2 linked regions of the Oryctolagus cuniculus genome follow. The protein of the gene in region 1 interacts with the protein of each later gene in a pairwise test. Links are inferred from orthologs where the notes say so. Each region holds a gene or a part of one and is shown in the gene's direction. Other genes may lie near its edges. The genes, in order: SGSM1 and CETN3.

Region 1 (6,480 bases):
TCTCTTCTTGACCCCTCTCTGCTCTGAAGGTTCCAGCAGTAACCGTGCTGCCAGCTCCTTTCTGTGCTGTGACAGTGGCTATACACACATGTGCTGTGTGCCTGCAGTTAGGACCCAGCCGAGAGCCCATGAGTGTGCAGAAGTGGGCCATTCGTTCCATTCTCCCTGCAGCATGCTTGTATCCTAACTGTCCGTGCACAGGAGGGGCAGGCCCAAATTCCCCACCGTGATCTTGGCCTTGAAGGAAAGGCCTGAGCCAGGAGATCTGGCCAGCCCTGTCGGCTCCCATGCGGATGGCTGGATGCCACCCCACCAGGACCCACAATGTGCTGAGCTCACTCTGTGACCTGGGGTGGGGGAGGCTGACCTGCCAAGCAGACCTGGGTTCAAATCCCACCTCTGCCACATCCTTGTGGGATTTTTCAAAAGTGAGATGTGTTTATTTAAACCTTTAAAAAGTTCTTGGGGAATGGACTTAAAAAATAAGTTATTTGTGGTGCAAGAAACACTGAGATCCATGCAAAGGAGGGGTCTTCAAAAAGTAGATGAAAAGTATGTCCTGTGAAAAAACTGCATGGATTTCAGCATTTCTTAAATCCAAAATAAACTTGTCTTTTAATTCCATTTTTCCACGAAGTTGTTCCAAGTGTTTTATATATAATATATGCATATACCAATGTGTATGTGCATACACACACATGGATGTTTAGGTATGACATATGTACGTGGAATTACATGTTTCCAACATTTAAATGTTTTTCTAGACATTTCTATTTGCAAATAAAATAATACGTATGTCCATGTCAGGACTTGCTAGCATACCTGCCCCTTGAAGTCTGAGGCGAATAGACAGTGATAAGAGGTGATAGTAATTGTGTCACTCTGGTGATGGCTTTGGGCTGGGAGAAATCTGACCACAGTGAATGAAGCCTGGAGAATTGCCTGCAGCTCTCTCTTATCTGTTGCTCCTTGCGAGCCATTGATGAAAAGCATTGAACGGCGTCCACAAACCTGAAGAACAGAGTCACTCATTTCCATATAAACAAATGAGAAGCACTGGGTATTAAATGTAAGAGAGCCCCACCCAGAATATTGTAAACCCACGGGCAGATCTGGCAATATCTAGACATCGGCTCAAAACCAAACTGTTGCTAACTCAGAGAAGACAAGCAGTTGACTCCAGACTTTTCAGTCTTCCTCCCCACCTGAGGCATGACCTTGGCCTAGCCCTTGGCCCCAGGAGCTCGCTGTTCTGTGAAGGGCCACTGACTGAGAGCCAGATCTCTCACTCTCTGGCTTTTGTCAGGGGGCATTAGACCAGGCAGATGGTAGCAGTTACGTGACACCAGCAGGTGCCCAAGACAGAGTAGCTCTTGTTAAACGCTCACTTTTCCTGAAGCATTGATTCTGCGCACAGCTGTATGAATGTGAGCTCCGGGTCTGCTGCGTACGACCACAACCAAGAAGAGACAGGGCTGTTGAAAGTGCCGGAAGTAAGAAATGGTTCCCTCGGGGCCAGACATCTCAGGAGAGCGCGCTGGCGCCCAGCGAGGGAAACTCATTGGTGACTTAGGGAGAGAGTCCACGTCTCTCTCTGAAAAGCGCTGGGCAAAACCTCCAGAGGGAGACCAGGAATGGGAAAATTAGGACAAAGTGTTCCCTTTAAAAGTCCTTTTTAGGAGCACGGACGTTGTGGCACGATGTGGGCTCAGAACTGAGTTTGAGTCCTGGCTCCATCACTCATTGGTTGGGTGGCCCTGGGAAACGCAGTTTTGCTTGCTGAGCCTCAGTCTTCACGTCTGATAGACGGGGATAACGTTCCTTTGTTCCCTGCCAGGGCAGAGAGTGAGTGGGATCCCTAAGTGTCAGCCCGCCCCATAAGGAGCAGCTTTAGTGATGATGTGATGAAGCCCAGCCGTCACGCGGCCCTGTCTCCCCTCGCTCTCCGACAGAAATGACAGCCACCGTCCGTGCTTTTCCCTACCGTGCTGTCCTGTGACTCTAGGGGTCCCCACTCTCCAGGGTGCTTCCTGTCTGACACGGTGCAGGGGCTCCTGGGGGTGGGGCGGAGCCCCTGACCGCCGGGTCCCTCATCCCCGCAGCGGCCGTGGAGGCCTGTGTGCTGCACGGGCTGCGGCGGCGGGCGGCCGGCTTCCTGCGCAGCAACAAGATCGCGGCGCTGTTCATGAAGGTGGGCAGGAGCTTCCCGCCGGCCGAGGAGCTGAGCCGCAAGGTGCAGGACCTGGAGCAGCTGATTGAGAATGCGTGAGTGTGGCGTGGGGGGTGCAGGCTGGGGCGGTCCCCCCGGCGACAGTGCACTTCCCTCTCCGGGCTCGGCAAGAGCTTGAGCCTCCTGGCACTCTCCTTTCTGCTCCTGAAACCCAGCAGACTCTCTCCCGCCTCAGGGCCTTTGCACATGCTGTGGCCACCTCCAGGCCGTCCTGGTCACCGATTCCTGGTTCCTCGTCACCATTCAGACCTCCCATGGCCAGAGAATTCCAACCCTTACTCCAACTTCTCTCCTTCTTTTTAAAAAAGATTTAATTTTTTTTAAAATAGAGTGACAGAAGGAGATATACACACATACAAACTCTCTCTCTCTCTCTCTCTAACACACACACACACACACACACACACACATCTTACATCCACCTGTCAAAATCATGAGCCAAGAACTCCATCCTGGTCTCCCATGTAGGTAGCAGTGGCCCAAGTGCTTGAGCCATCACCTGCTGCACCCTGGGGACACTGGCAGAAAGCTGGGTCAGAAGTGGAATAGTGGGACCACCATCATGGTTAAGCTGCCACCAGTGACACTGGCATCCCATATGGGCACTGGTTTGTGTCTCGGCTGCTCCACTTCCGATCCAGCTCCCTGCTAATGCACCTGGGAAAGCAGTGGAGGATGGCTCAAGTGTTTGGGCTCCTGCACTCACATGGGAGACCCAGATGAAACTCCTGGCTCCTGGCTTTGGCCTGGTACACCTCCAGCACCAGCCATCGCAGCTATTTGGGGAGTGAACCATTGGATGGAAGACCTCTCTCTCTCTCTTCCTCTCTGTCTAACGCTTTCAAATAAATAAATCATTAAAATAGAAGCAGAACATCCAGGACTGTAAGTGGCACTTAAGTGTGAGATGCAGTGTTGCACATGGTAGCTTCACCAGCTGTGCCCCACACCTGCCCCATCTCCCCTGGGGTGCCACACTGTTTGTTTTCCTCCAGGGACCGTCACCGTCTGTAATCAGCCACTCACTTCATTGTTTACTTGGCCGAGGCCCCACTGCCCCCTTGGCCATGAACTCCACGTGAGCTGGCAGCCACATTGCGGTATTCCCCCATTAGGTGCCCAGCACCTGGACAGCATTGGGCACCTGGTAGAGGCCCAAGAAGTAGTGACCACGGCCTGTGGTAAATGCAAGATGGTCTCTTCTGCATGGACCAGAAGCTGGGGCCTCTGGCTCAGTCTCACTCTGGGGCGCCCACTGAGGGGCAGGGGTGATTCCGCTTGCTCGCCTTGGCGGCTGGTTGGGGAGGCTCATGGACTGAGTCGACGAGCAGGCGTCTACAGCCAGAGCCAGCCCCAGGGTCCCGACTGGACAGCCAAACCCCCAACCCGGGGCCAGGGTGGGGATGGCAGGTTGCTTTCCACTTCAGCTGGTGCGAGAGGCTGCCCAGAGACTGTGCCTGTGCATCCTGAGGAACCTCGTGGATTGATTGGTCATGTCTGTCATGGGCAGGGGAAGGAAAGAGACAGGCGAGCCCTGTGTTTGCCGTCTCTGCAATGGGTGATGTTCCTACTTCGCTGTGTGAGAAACAGCCCTTTCCCTGCCCGCAGGACCTGCCTGCCCCAGGGCTGCTGGCCAGAACTGTAGAGCTTGGGATTTGGCTCTGCCAGCTCCCGTGGGGAACAACCTCTCAGCCGCCTGGTCTTCAGATGTCTTCCAGTGCATTGGCTAAATTCCCAAGGATTTGCAGGTGTCTTTTTAAAAAAAAAGATTTTATTTATTTATTTGAGAAATAGAGTTACAGACAGTGAGAGGGAGAGACAGACAGAGAGAAAGGTCTTCTCTCCACTGGTTCACTCCGCAAATGACTGCCATGGCTCGAGCTGTGCCAATCCGAAGCCAGGAGCCAGGAGCTTCCTCTGGGTCTCCCACGCGGTGCAGGGGCCCAAGCACTTGGGCCGTCTTCCACTGCTTTCCCAGGCCATAGCAGAGAGCTGGATTGGAAGAGGAGCAGCCAGGACTATAACCAGGCCCCATATGGGATGCTGGTGCCACAGGCAGAGGATTAACCCACTGCGCCACAGCGCCGGCCCCTGCAGGTGTCTTCTTAAAGCATGGACTTCCATAATACAGGGGAGAGTCTTCCTGATGGAGGAATTAGAGCTGCTTGTGCCAGGTGGTGAGGGAGAACCACTCACACACTTGCCCCAGCACTTGTTCATGAACATACACACTGAGCCTTGTCCGTACGGCAGGCCCTGTGCAGGCCCTGGAGACGCAGACAGGAGGAGGGTCCATGCTCGCCACCTGGTAGACACTCAGCAGGAGTTTCACTTGGTCTCCACAGGTGGAGGGAGCAGGAATCAGCTTTGGCTGGCCTGGGAGGGCTGTCCACAGGGCTGGGCCACCCACGCTGAGCAAGGGGTCAGCCCAGGGATGGGGTGGGAAAGGAGGAAGAAACACCAGCCGTGGGAAGGCTGCAGGTGAGAGCCTCAGGGCTCCGCAGACGTCTCTGGGCAGGTCATGGGGTACGTGGGGCTAGGGGTCAGGAAATGCTGGGGAGGTGAGTGGAGCATGGTCATGGAGCCACTGGAGGAGCTCCAGCTGGGGAGGGTATGGAGCTATGGGGGAAGGCGAGGGGGAGATATTAGTGTGCCAGTCTGGCTGGGCCACCCACAGTATCTGAGTGTCTGTTTAACCACGTCTTCACACCCACGTAACCCATTTGCTAGCAGCAGTGTGGGCCCCTGTTTACGTTGCCAGTCCTTCGCTTCCCGAGAGACTGGACGTGTCCCATCTGCACGCTGACCCTGTGGGCTGTTTTTGTGAGTGTCTCTTCTCCTTTGTTGATCTTGAAGACGAAACCAGATCCAGGGCCTCCAGGAGAACGTGCGGAAGCTGCCGAAGCTGCCCAACTTGTCCCCGCTGGCCATCAAGCACCTGTGGATCCGCACGGCCTTGTTTGAGAAGGTCCTGGACAAAATTGTGCATTACCTGGTGGAAAACAGCAGGTGAGAAGGGCAGGCCAGACCTGGGGGGGTGCTCTGCTGCCACCTGCTGGCCTCCTGGGAATTGCACCTTCCTGCACAAAGTTGCCTGTTCTTTTTCTCCTTGACGCACACTTAAGTTAGACCATTTTTTAAAAAAAGATATATTTATTTATTTGAAAGTCAGAGTTACACACAGAGAAAAGGAGAGGCAGAGAGAGAGAGAGGTCTTCCATCTGCTGGTTCACTCCCCAGTTGGCTGCAACGGCTGAAGCTATGCCGATCTGAAGCCAGGAGCCTGGAGTTTCTTCCAGGTCTCCCACACGGGGGACCCAAGGGGGGCCCAAGGACTTGGACCATCTTCTACTGCTTTCCCAGGCCATAGCAGAGAGCTGGATCAGAAGTGGAGCAGCCAGGACTCGAACCAACGCCCATATGGGATGCTGGCGCTGCAGGTGGAGGCTCAGCCCTCTATGCCACAACACCGGCCCCTGACCATGATTTTTAAAATGCCTCCTGGATGTTTGACCCCAAGCCAGTCTTCTGTAGAAGTTTGGGCAGATGCAGGTGTTTCATAGCAGTGTAAGGTCTTCATTCTTAGGAAGGGATATACATATATTGAATTTCTTCCTCCCCCCCATGGATTAAACTACGCAATAATTCTGTGGTCCTTGGAAAATCACTAAGTCTGTATCTCTTTTGGCAAATGAGACAGGAATCAATGCCATTCCAGAGGAGAAATGAGAAGGGAATTTTGTGAGAATGCAGCAAGTTAAAGCGCAGAGAAGTTTTTTCCTTTTGCTCAGCTTAATCTGATGTGAGGGTTTAAGAGTTTGAATCTTCTCGGCTAAGCATCTGTTCCTGCATTCACCCATCCAAAAAATACTTCATGACAACCTGCTGTGTTCCCTACCTCACCTGGGTGTTGAGGATACAGTGGTGATGGCTGTCACACTAAGGAGCTGCAGCAGTGTTACCATGAGAGCAGTGGGGAGCCACAGAAGAATCTGTGATCTGAGACGCCTCTAGCCCGAGAGAAGCAGAGACAGAAAGAACTACCTGAGAATCCCCCCATCTTTCAGTATAAAAAGTGCTTGTTTATCTTCGCACACACGTGGAAGAATTATTTAACATATTGCCCTGTGGTTGGCAAATATGTATGAAGGCACAAAGTCCCTCTCCCACCAAGCTCATGTTCCAGCAAGAAAACTGTCAAATACCGATTGTGATAATGGGTGTTGTATGTAATGGGTGTCGCAAGGGCC
Region 2 (7,013 bases), on another chromosome or scaffold:
TTTTTTGTTTCCTGTTTTTAAAAAATATATTGTATTAACTATGTCTTAGGTTGAGTTCTTTAAGGAAGTGACTGTGAGATCTGCATAACTGGGGTTTACTGGGGCAGCGTCTCAGAAACAAGACCTGTGGGGACTGACAGAGGCAGAACTGGGCAGAGGGAACAGGGGCGCTGTGATGCAGTCAAAGCAGAGGCCTCAGCCAGCTCTACAGGGCGCCATGATGTTGGAGAAGCCCTTCCCCTCAGAGTTCACCTGGATTGAGGCCAGGAAGCCAGGCTCTTCCCTTTCATATTGGCCTGTCTTTGGATAAATTCTGCCTCCAGGGAGACTTTGTAATCTGGCTGAAGGCACCTACTTTTGGGAAAGGGCAATTTACCAGGAGGAACTGAGCTGGGTGTTTTCAGCTGCCCAAATTTCTGGAAGCTGGGGGAATAGGTTCTTTGGTTCTGAAGACAGGAAGGCGGGTGGGCTATAGCACTGACTACAGCCTGATAATGCATTATTTTAGTTTATGTCATTTTAAAGCCATGGTATTCTTACTAACCTTTATTTTTAAAAAGAATTTCTAGTTACATTAGTTTTTCTTTTACAGTGAAGAAATATTTCTTTATCAACTCACTGAACATATTTAAGTTCTCTTTATCCATTTCTGTCTATTGGTTGGAATCCATTCAGCTTTTCTTCCCTCTAGGCCTACTCCATCAATTTATTTTAAATCTCTCATTTTTCTTTTTTCATTGATTTAGGAGGTGTATTAATTTTCTATCATTGCTATAACTAATTACTATAATTTTAGTGCCTTAAAACAACACTTGCATACTATGTTTTTTTTTTTTTTTTTTTTTTTAAGATTTCTTTTATTTATTTGAAGACAGAGTTACAGAGAGAGGTAGAGACAGAAAGAAGGGTCTTCCATCCGATGGTTCATTCCCCAGATGACCTCAACAGCCGAAGCTGTGCTGATCCGAAGCCAGGAGCCAGGATCTTCTTCCGGTCTCCCATGTGGGTGCAGGGGCCCAAGGATTTGGGCCATCTTCTACTGCTTTCCCAGGCCGTAGCAGAGAGCTGGACTGGGAGAGGGGCAGCCGGGACTTCAACCGGTGCCCATATGGGATGTCGGCGCTTCAGGCCAAGGCTTTAACCCACTTCACCACAGTGCTGCCCCCCCGCCCCATTTCCTTTCTAGCTGTTGGCCAGAGGTCATCTCAACTTTTAGAAGCAGTCCATATCTGATTCTATAGATTTCCTGTGCAAATTATTTCTGTGAAATCCATTTTGCTATTATTATATCTTATAATCATTGTTCTCTCAAATGTGATGATCAGCTACTTACTGAATTCTTTTTATCAATTCCAATAGCTTCTTTGGTATTCTTGGATTTTCCAGGTGTTATATAATTCATACACAATGTTAATTTCATGTGGCACTTCTTCCCCTTGTTTTATTGCATCATTCATGAGAATTTCAAGGATAATATTGATAACCATTTTAATGGTTTCTGTGGCAGACTTGCTAATCCCATTTTATGTTTAGTAACAGATGGTATGACCTCATGTTTTATCAGGGAACATGGCATCCAAACTAGAGAGCTCTTCTCAGCCTCCCTTACAGCAAGCAAGTAGTGGCCATGTCACTAGTTTCCACGGCTTAAATGTGAAGAGAAGTGATGCGTGTGACTTCCCTATCATTCCCTTAACAGGGTATGGCACTGACGACATTTGACCTTAACAAGTAAAAACACATTTTCCCAAATTACTTGTCCACAGTGTCATTCTCTATGAAATGACCATAAGCATCTCACAAAACTCTAGTGTTCCGGGGATCAAGGTTGAGAAACCCTAATGTTCCATTCTAAGTGTGTTATTCAGCATGGTAAAAAAAAAAAAAAAAAAAAAAAAAAAAGCACTGTCCATACCTGCTTTATTAATATGTATCTTAGAATGAGTAAGGGATATTTTGTCCTTGAGATCATCTCGGTTATCTAGCATTATGATTATTTAATAGATTTATATGTTGAATTCTTCATAAACACACTCTATTTAATGATAGCGAACTGTGTCGTTAAGAGGACACCAAACGTTTTGCTAACATCTAGGACCCAAAGGAACATCAACTGCAGCCAGCCACTGGGGACACAATGAATGACGTGCATAAACTCGGTCGCAAGTGAGCCTGCGTAGGATGCTGAGGGTTGGGTTGGCCGCAAAAATTAAGCTCACGTCTCTGAGAGCACCTGCACCGGTCTCCTCCCCGCCATTCCCTACCTGGGAGCTGTCCACACGCCGGCCCGCAAAGGATTCGGGGAAAAAGCAGCTGGCCAATCTAAGGGGCCGGAGGGCACGGGAGAGGCGGGCACAAACGCTCCTTTGACTGACGCTAAAGCCATCCAATGAAAATAGGGCGTAGTGCCGAGCGGGGCACAACCTTAGCGGGTTTCGACCAATCCCGCTCAGAAGTGTCTGTCTTCTGGGCGGGGCTGGTGGTGGCAGCGGCCGTTCGCGTCTGTTGAACGGCTTGTGGGAGTCCTGCTGCTTCGGGCCAGGGCATAAAGTCTCTGAGAGGAACGTGTCTGTCCGGGGAGGAAAATGAGTTTAGCTCTGAGGTCGGTAGTCGTGAGGCGGCCGCGCTCCCCACGCCGCGGAGCGGGCCCCGGGCGTGCTCGCGTGCGTGTGTGGGTGTGGAAGGGAGGCCGTTGGGGCCGAGGTGAGGAGGGGGCTCGCCGGCCTGCCAGCCCCCAGCCCCCCGGGAGTGCAGAGCCCTGCAGGTGACCGGCCCGGCGCTCGCTGCCGAGGTGGTCGCCTGTGGCCGCGCACGGGGCTTTCGGCCTAGGGGGGTGGGCCGCGGGCGTGCGGTGCTGCGACCCCGCCCACCTGGCCCCCGCACCGCTGCCCACGGAGTCGCTCGCCCGTGTGCCCCCGGCCCCGCCGAATCGGAGACCCGCCCGGAGTCGGTGTCTTCTGTCCCGACCCTAGCCCTCGGTCTGTGCCCCACCCCACCCCCCGTGTCAGATAGCCTTGAAGGCAGGTGCTCAGAGACTGTGTTCCGCCACGGGTGGCCCTGGCTGCGGTCAGGTGTGGGCGGGGTCCGGACTTGCCCGCGGGCAGTCCGGGCAGGGGAATGGCTGACCCCGGCTGTGCCCAGGTGTGTGTCCACTCGGGTCTCTTGGGGAAGGTCTTCCTCAGCTCTGACGTACTGCACCTGCTGTCATTTGGTAGCCATCCCTATTGCCTTTTTTTCCCCCTTAAGATTTCAGAAACCAAAATAAGTTTTTTGTTTGTTTGTTTTTTTTTTTTTTTTAAAGATTTATTTATTTGAAAGGCAGAGTGAGTGACAGAAAGAGACAGGGAAAGAGATCTTGGATCCGCTGGTTCAGTCCTCAAAGGGCGTCCATGGTTGGGGTTGGCACAGGGGGGAGCCAGGAGCCCTGAACATGGCAGTTCACCTGAACATGCCACCCTCCTGGGTGGCAGGGGCTCAAGCTTTGGGGCCATCTTCCGCTGCCTTCCCGGGGAGCAGCTGGGACTCAGGGTTTGTGTTCCTTGGACCTGAGAGGCAGCCCTACCTGCTGGGCCACGATGCTGCCCGCCCCCCCCCATGGCTTTCACATGCAAATAAGATGATCTGTTATGAGACAATCAACTGGTTTTACATTTAGAATTTTTAAAACGTGTTCTTACAGAATTGGTGTTCTCATTTGAAACTCTGAAGCACTTCTACATCTGTCTCAGATGGAAGACATTCCTAACTTCCAAATAATTTTGCTTTTCATTTTCTTTACTCTTTTCCAGAGTTATGAGAAGTTTGACCTATAGTTTATAAGTTAAATGAGACAAGAATTTTCACATTTTTTGGAAGTAAGCACAAATGCTACATACCACTTTTTGATCTTTTAACATTCATGATATATTTAGACTCACTGCTTTGTTGGCTGACATGTTAATATTGATGGAAGAAACTACAAACAAAGTACCTAGATGTGATCCAAAATAGTTTTGAACTTACAATGCCAAAATATAGGTTAATTGATAAATTATTTGGCACTTTTTTGTAGTAATCTTGAAAACTTAATTACAAGAAATATACTGAAGTATAATAAATATTTATGTTGATTGTCAATTATGAATTCTACTTTGATTTGGATTTTTTTCCACTTTTGCAGAATGATATAAGTGTTGATTTGGTTTTGATTGAGGTTTTTGGTCTGAAAGTAATATTTCTGACCATTCTTTTTTTTTAAGGTTTTTTATTTATTTATTTGAGAGGTAGAATTATAGACAGTGAGAAGGAGAGACAAAGATCTTCCGTCTGTTGGTTCACTCCCCAGTGGCCGCAACGGCTGGAGCTGTGCTGATCTGAAGCCAGGAGTCTGGTGCTTCTTCCTGGTCTCCCATGTGGGTACAGGGGCCCAAGGACTTGGGCCATCTTTTACTGCTTTCCCAGGCCACAGCAGAGAGCTGGATTGGAAGAGGAGCAGCTGGGACTAGAACCAGTGCCCATAAGGGATGTTCGCACCACAGGTGGAGGATTAACCTACTGCGCCATAGTGCCAGCCTCCTCTGACCATTCTTGTTTCTGAGTTGGGAGGAGGGAAGGTTTGGTTCCCCCCCCCCCCCCTTTTTTTGAAACGTATATGAAAGAGTGACAGAGACAAAGTCAGAGAAATCTTCCATCTCTGAATGGCCGCTATGGCTGAGGCTGGGCCAGGCTGAAGCTAGTAGCCAAGAACTCCATTCAGGTCTCCCATTTGGGTGATTGAACCAACCACTTGAGCCATGCCATAGTTGTCTGCCTTCCCAGGTGCATTAGCAGAGAGCTGATTGGAAGTGAAGCAGCTGGGACCTGAACTGGCACTCATGTGCGATGCCAGTGTGGCAGGTGGTGGCTTAATCCATTGCATTGTGACAGTGGCCCTTGTTCCCCATTTCTGTCAGAGTTTCGGCTTCATACTGGGAAGTGTACATTCATAGAACTGTGGACTATGGAACAAGCAGGATGTCAACTCATACAGAAAAAATACTTTATCTTTCTTCAACATATTTCCTTTTTGGAAATTTAGAAAGTTGTTGATTGTTTAGTTTGCATAAGAGAATACGATTAGAGTGGACTAATGACTTTTTTGTTTCCATTTTATAGAAGTGAGCTTGTAGTAGACAAAACAAAGAGAAAAAAAAGAAGAGAGCTCTCTGAGGAACAGAAACAAGAAATTAAAGATGCCTTTGAACTTTTTGATACAGACAAAGATGATGCAATAGATTATCATGAACTAAAGGTAAAGTATAAAGTATATATTTATCTGTTAAAGTGATTTGCATTTTTGACAGCTTTAAAATACATTTATTTTATTTATTTTATTTTTTTGACAGGCAGAGTGGACAGTGAGAGACAGAGACAGAGAGAAAGGTCTTCCTTTTCCTTTGGTTCACCCCCCAATGGCCGCTGCGGCCGGCGCACCGCGCTGATCCGATGGCAGGAGCCATTTGCTTATCCTGGTCTCCCATGGGGTGCAGGGTCCAAGGACTTGGGCCATCCTCCACTGCCCTCCTGGGCCATAGCAGAGAGCTGGACCGGAAGAGGAGCGATCAGGACTAGAACCCCGTGTGCCGGCGCCGCAGGTGGAGGATTAGCCTATTGAGCCGCGGTGCCGGCCAAAATACATTTCTATATAATTATTGTAACTGAACTGGTTTTGGAACTATGAAATCTTTTTAAGCATTCGTAGTTAGGTGCTATAGTAAAACAGAACCCCTAATGCAGTTGTATGAAAACGTTTTTGCATGGTAAAGTGAATGATATTTTAAATGTAAAAATACATTCCTATGAAAGATGGTTATTTTTCATTCACAAAAGTAATGGATTGGAAGCTATGGAATTTAAGCAGCTCTTATCATTATCATTCTTCCTGTTGGTTTTATTTAGATTTTGGTAACTCATGCTTTTTTTTTTCATACTGGGAGAGTGGGTTTTTAAGCTTTTAATTTAAACATGTTAGTAACACAATCTCAACCTACTTTCTGTAGTGCATGCATAATAAGTTGTTTGATGTTGAACACGTGCTAATGGAGAAAGATGTCAAATTCAAGGCTTAAAATTAGTTGTGGTGAGACACCAGCATCTTACATGTGTGCCAGTTGGAGTCCCAGCTAGCTGCTCTACTTCTGATTTAGCTCCTTGCTAAGACACTTGGGAAAACAGTGGAAGGTGGCCCGAGTACTTGGGACCCTGCACCTATATGGGAGACATAGATGGAATTCCAGGCTCCTGGCCTAGCCCAGCCCTGGTCACTGTGACCATCTGGGGAATGAACCCAGGATGAAAGATCTGCCTGTCCCTCTCTCTCTGTAACTCTGTCTTTCAAATATAAATTTTTTTGAAAGAAGTATTATTTATTAAAGATCTAAGGGGAAATTGGTATTTAAGGTTGTGTGGTTTTTACATTCAGCACAATTTGAAAAACAGCACTTTTGAGATTTTTAGTAGCCTTAATGGGTAGGTGAATAACTATCAATGTTCGTTTTGCGGCTTTATTTCTGGTAACTTTGTAAGGGATTTTAAAGGATTTCAGGTGGGGTAAGACATATGTAATGACAGGTTGGGATGTACGTGTGAAAGCAATACTAGGTGTGTTAAGTGCAACTTCCTTAGTCTTGCAGTCCTCTCTTTTCTCACATTTTAAAGAAATTACTCATTTGAGCAATTCTTCCATTATAGTGTCTCTGCCATTTGTTGCCATTGGTGTCTTGATTTGTGTGGGGCTATACTTCGTTCCTGGAGCCTCCTGAGTGGTTCCTTCACTTCTAGTTCACATTGTACCCTATCCTTAGATTTAGATCATTCTCAAACTCAACATATTGTTCAGTGCTCATAAAACTTTACTGATTGCTCATTGCCCATAAAGTTCAGATTTACTTGCTTTCTGTTGAATGCCTTCTGTATCATCTGCTTTTCTCATTTGCTAACTGCTTCACTCCATCTGAACTCTTCCCATTCAGGTGAGACTGCTCTGTTCACTGTTC

Evidence for each region.
Region 2: the proteins of SGSM1 (region 1) and CETN3 interact in binary tests that used the Homo sapiens proteins (3 or more experiments, as listed by UniProt). The two-hybrid records come from large-scale screens. The link is inferred for Oryctolagus cuniculus from reciprocal best matches to the Homo sapiens genes SGSM1 and CETN3.

Annotation. Positions count from the first base shown.
Region 1 is NC_091452.1:19,078,135-19,084,614, forward strand, and holds part of SGSM1 (small G protein signaling modulator 1), read left to right. Parts: intron 1-2,102; coding exon 2,103-2,265; intron 2,266-5,086; coding exon 5,087-5,239; intron 5,240-6,480. UniProt on the Homo sapiens protein: Interacts with numerous Rab family members, functioning as Rab effector for some, and as GTPase activator for others. Promotes GTP hydrolysis by RAB34 and RAB36.
Region 2 is NC_091445.1:13,135,878-13,142,890, reverse strand, and holds the start of CETN3 (centrin-3), read left to right. Parts: upstream 1-2,442; 5' UTR 2,443-2,585; coding exon 2,586-2,602; intron 2,603-5,133; coding exon 5,134-5,269; intron 5,270-7,013. UniProt on the Homo sapiens protein: Plays a fundamental role in microtubule-organizing center structure and function. As a component of the TREX-2 complex, involved in the export of mRNAs to the cytoplasm through the nuclear pores.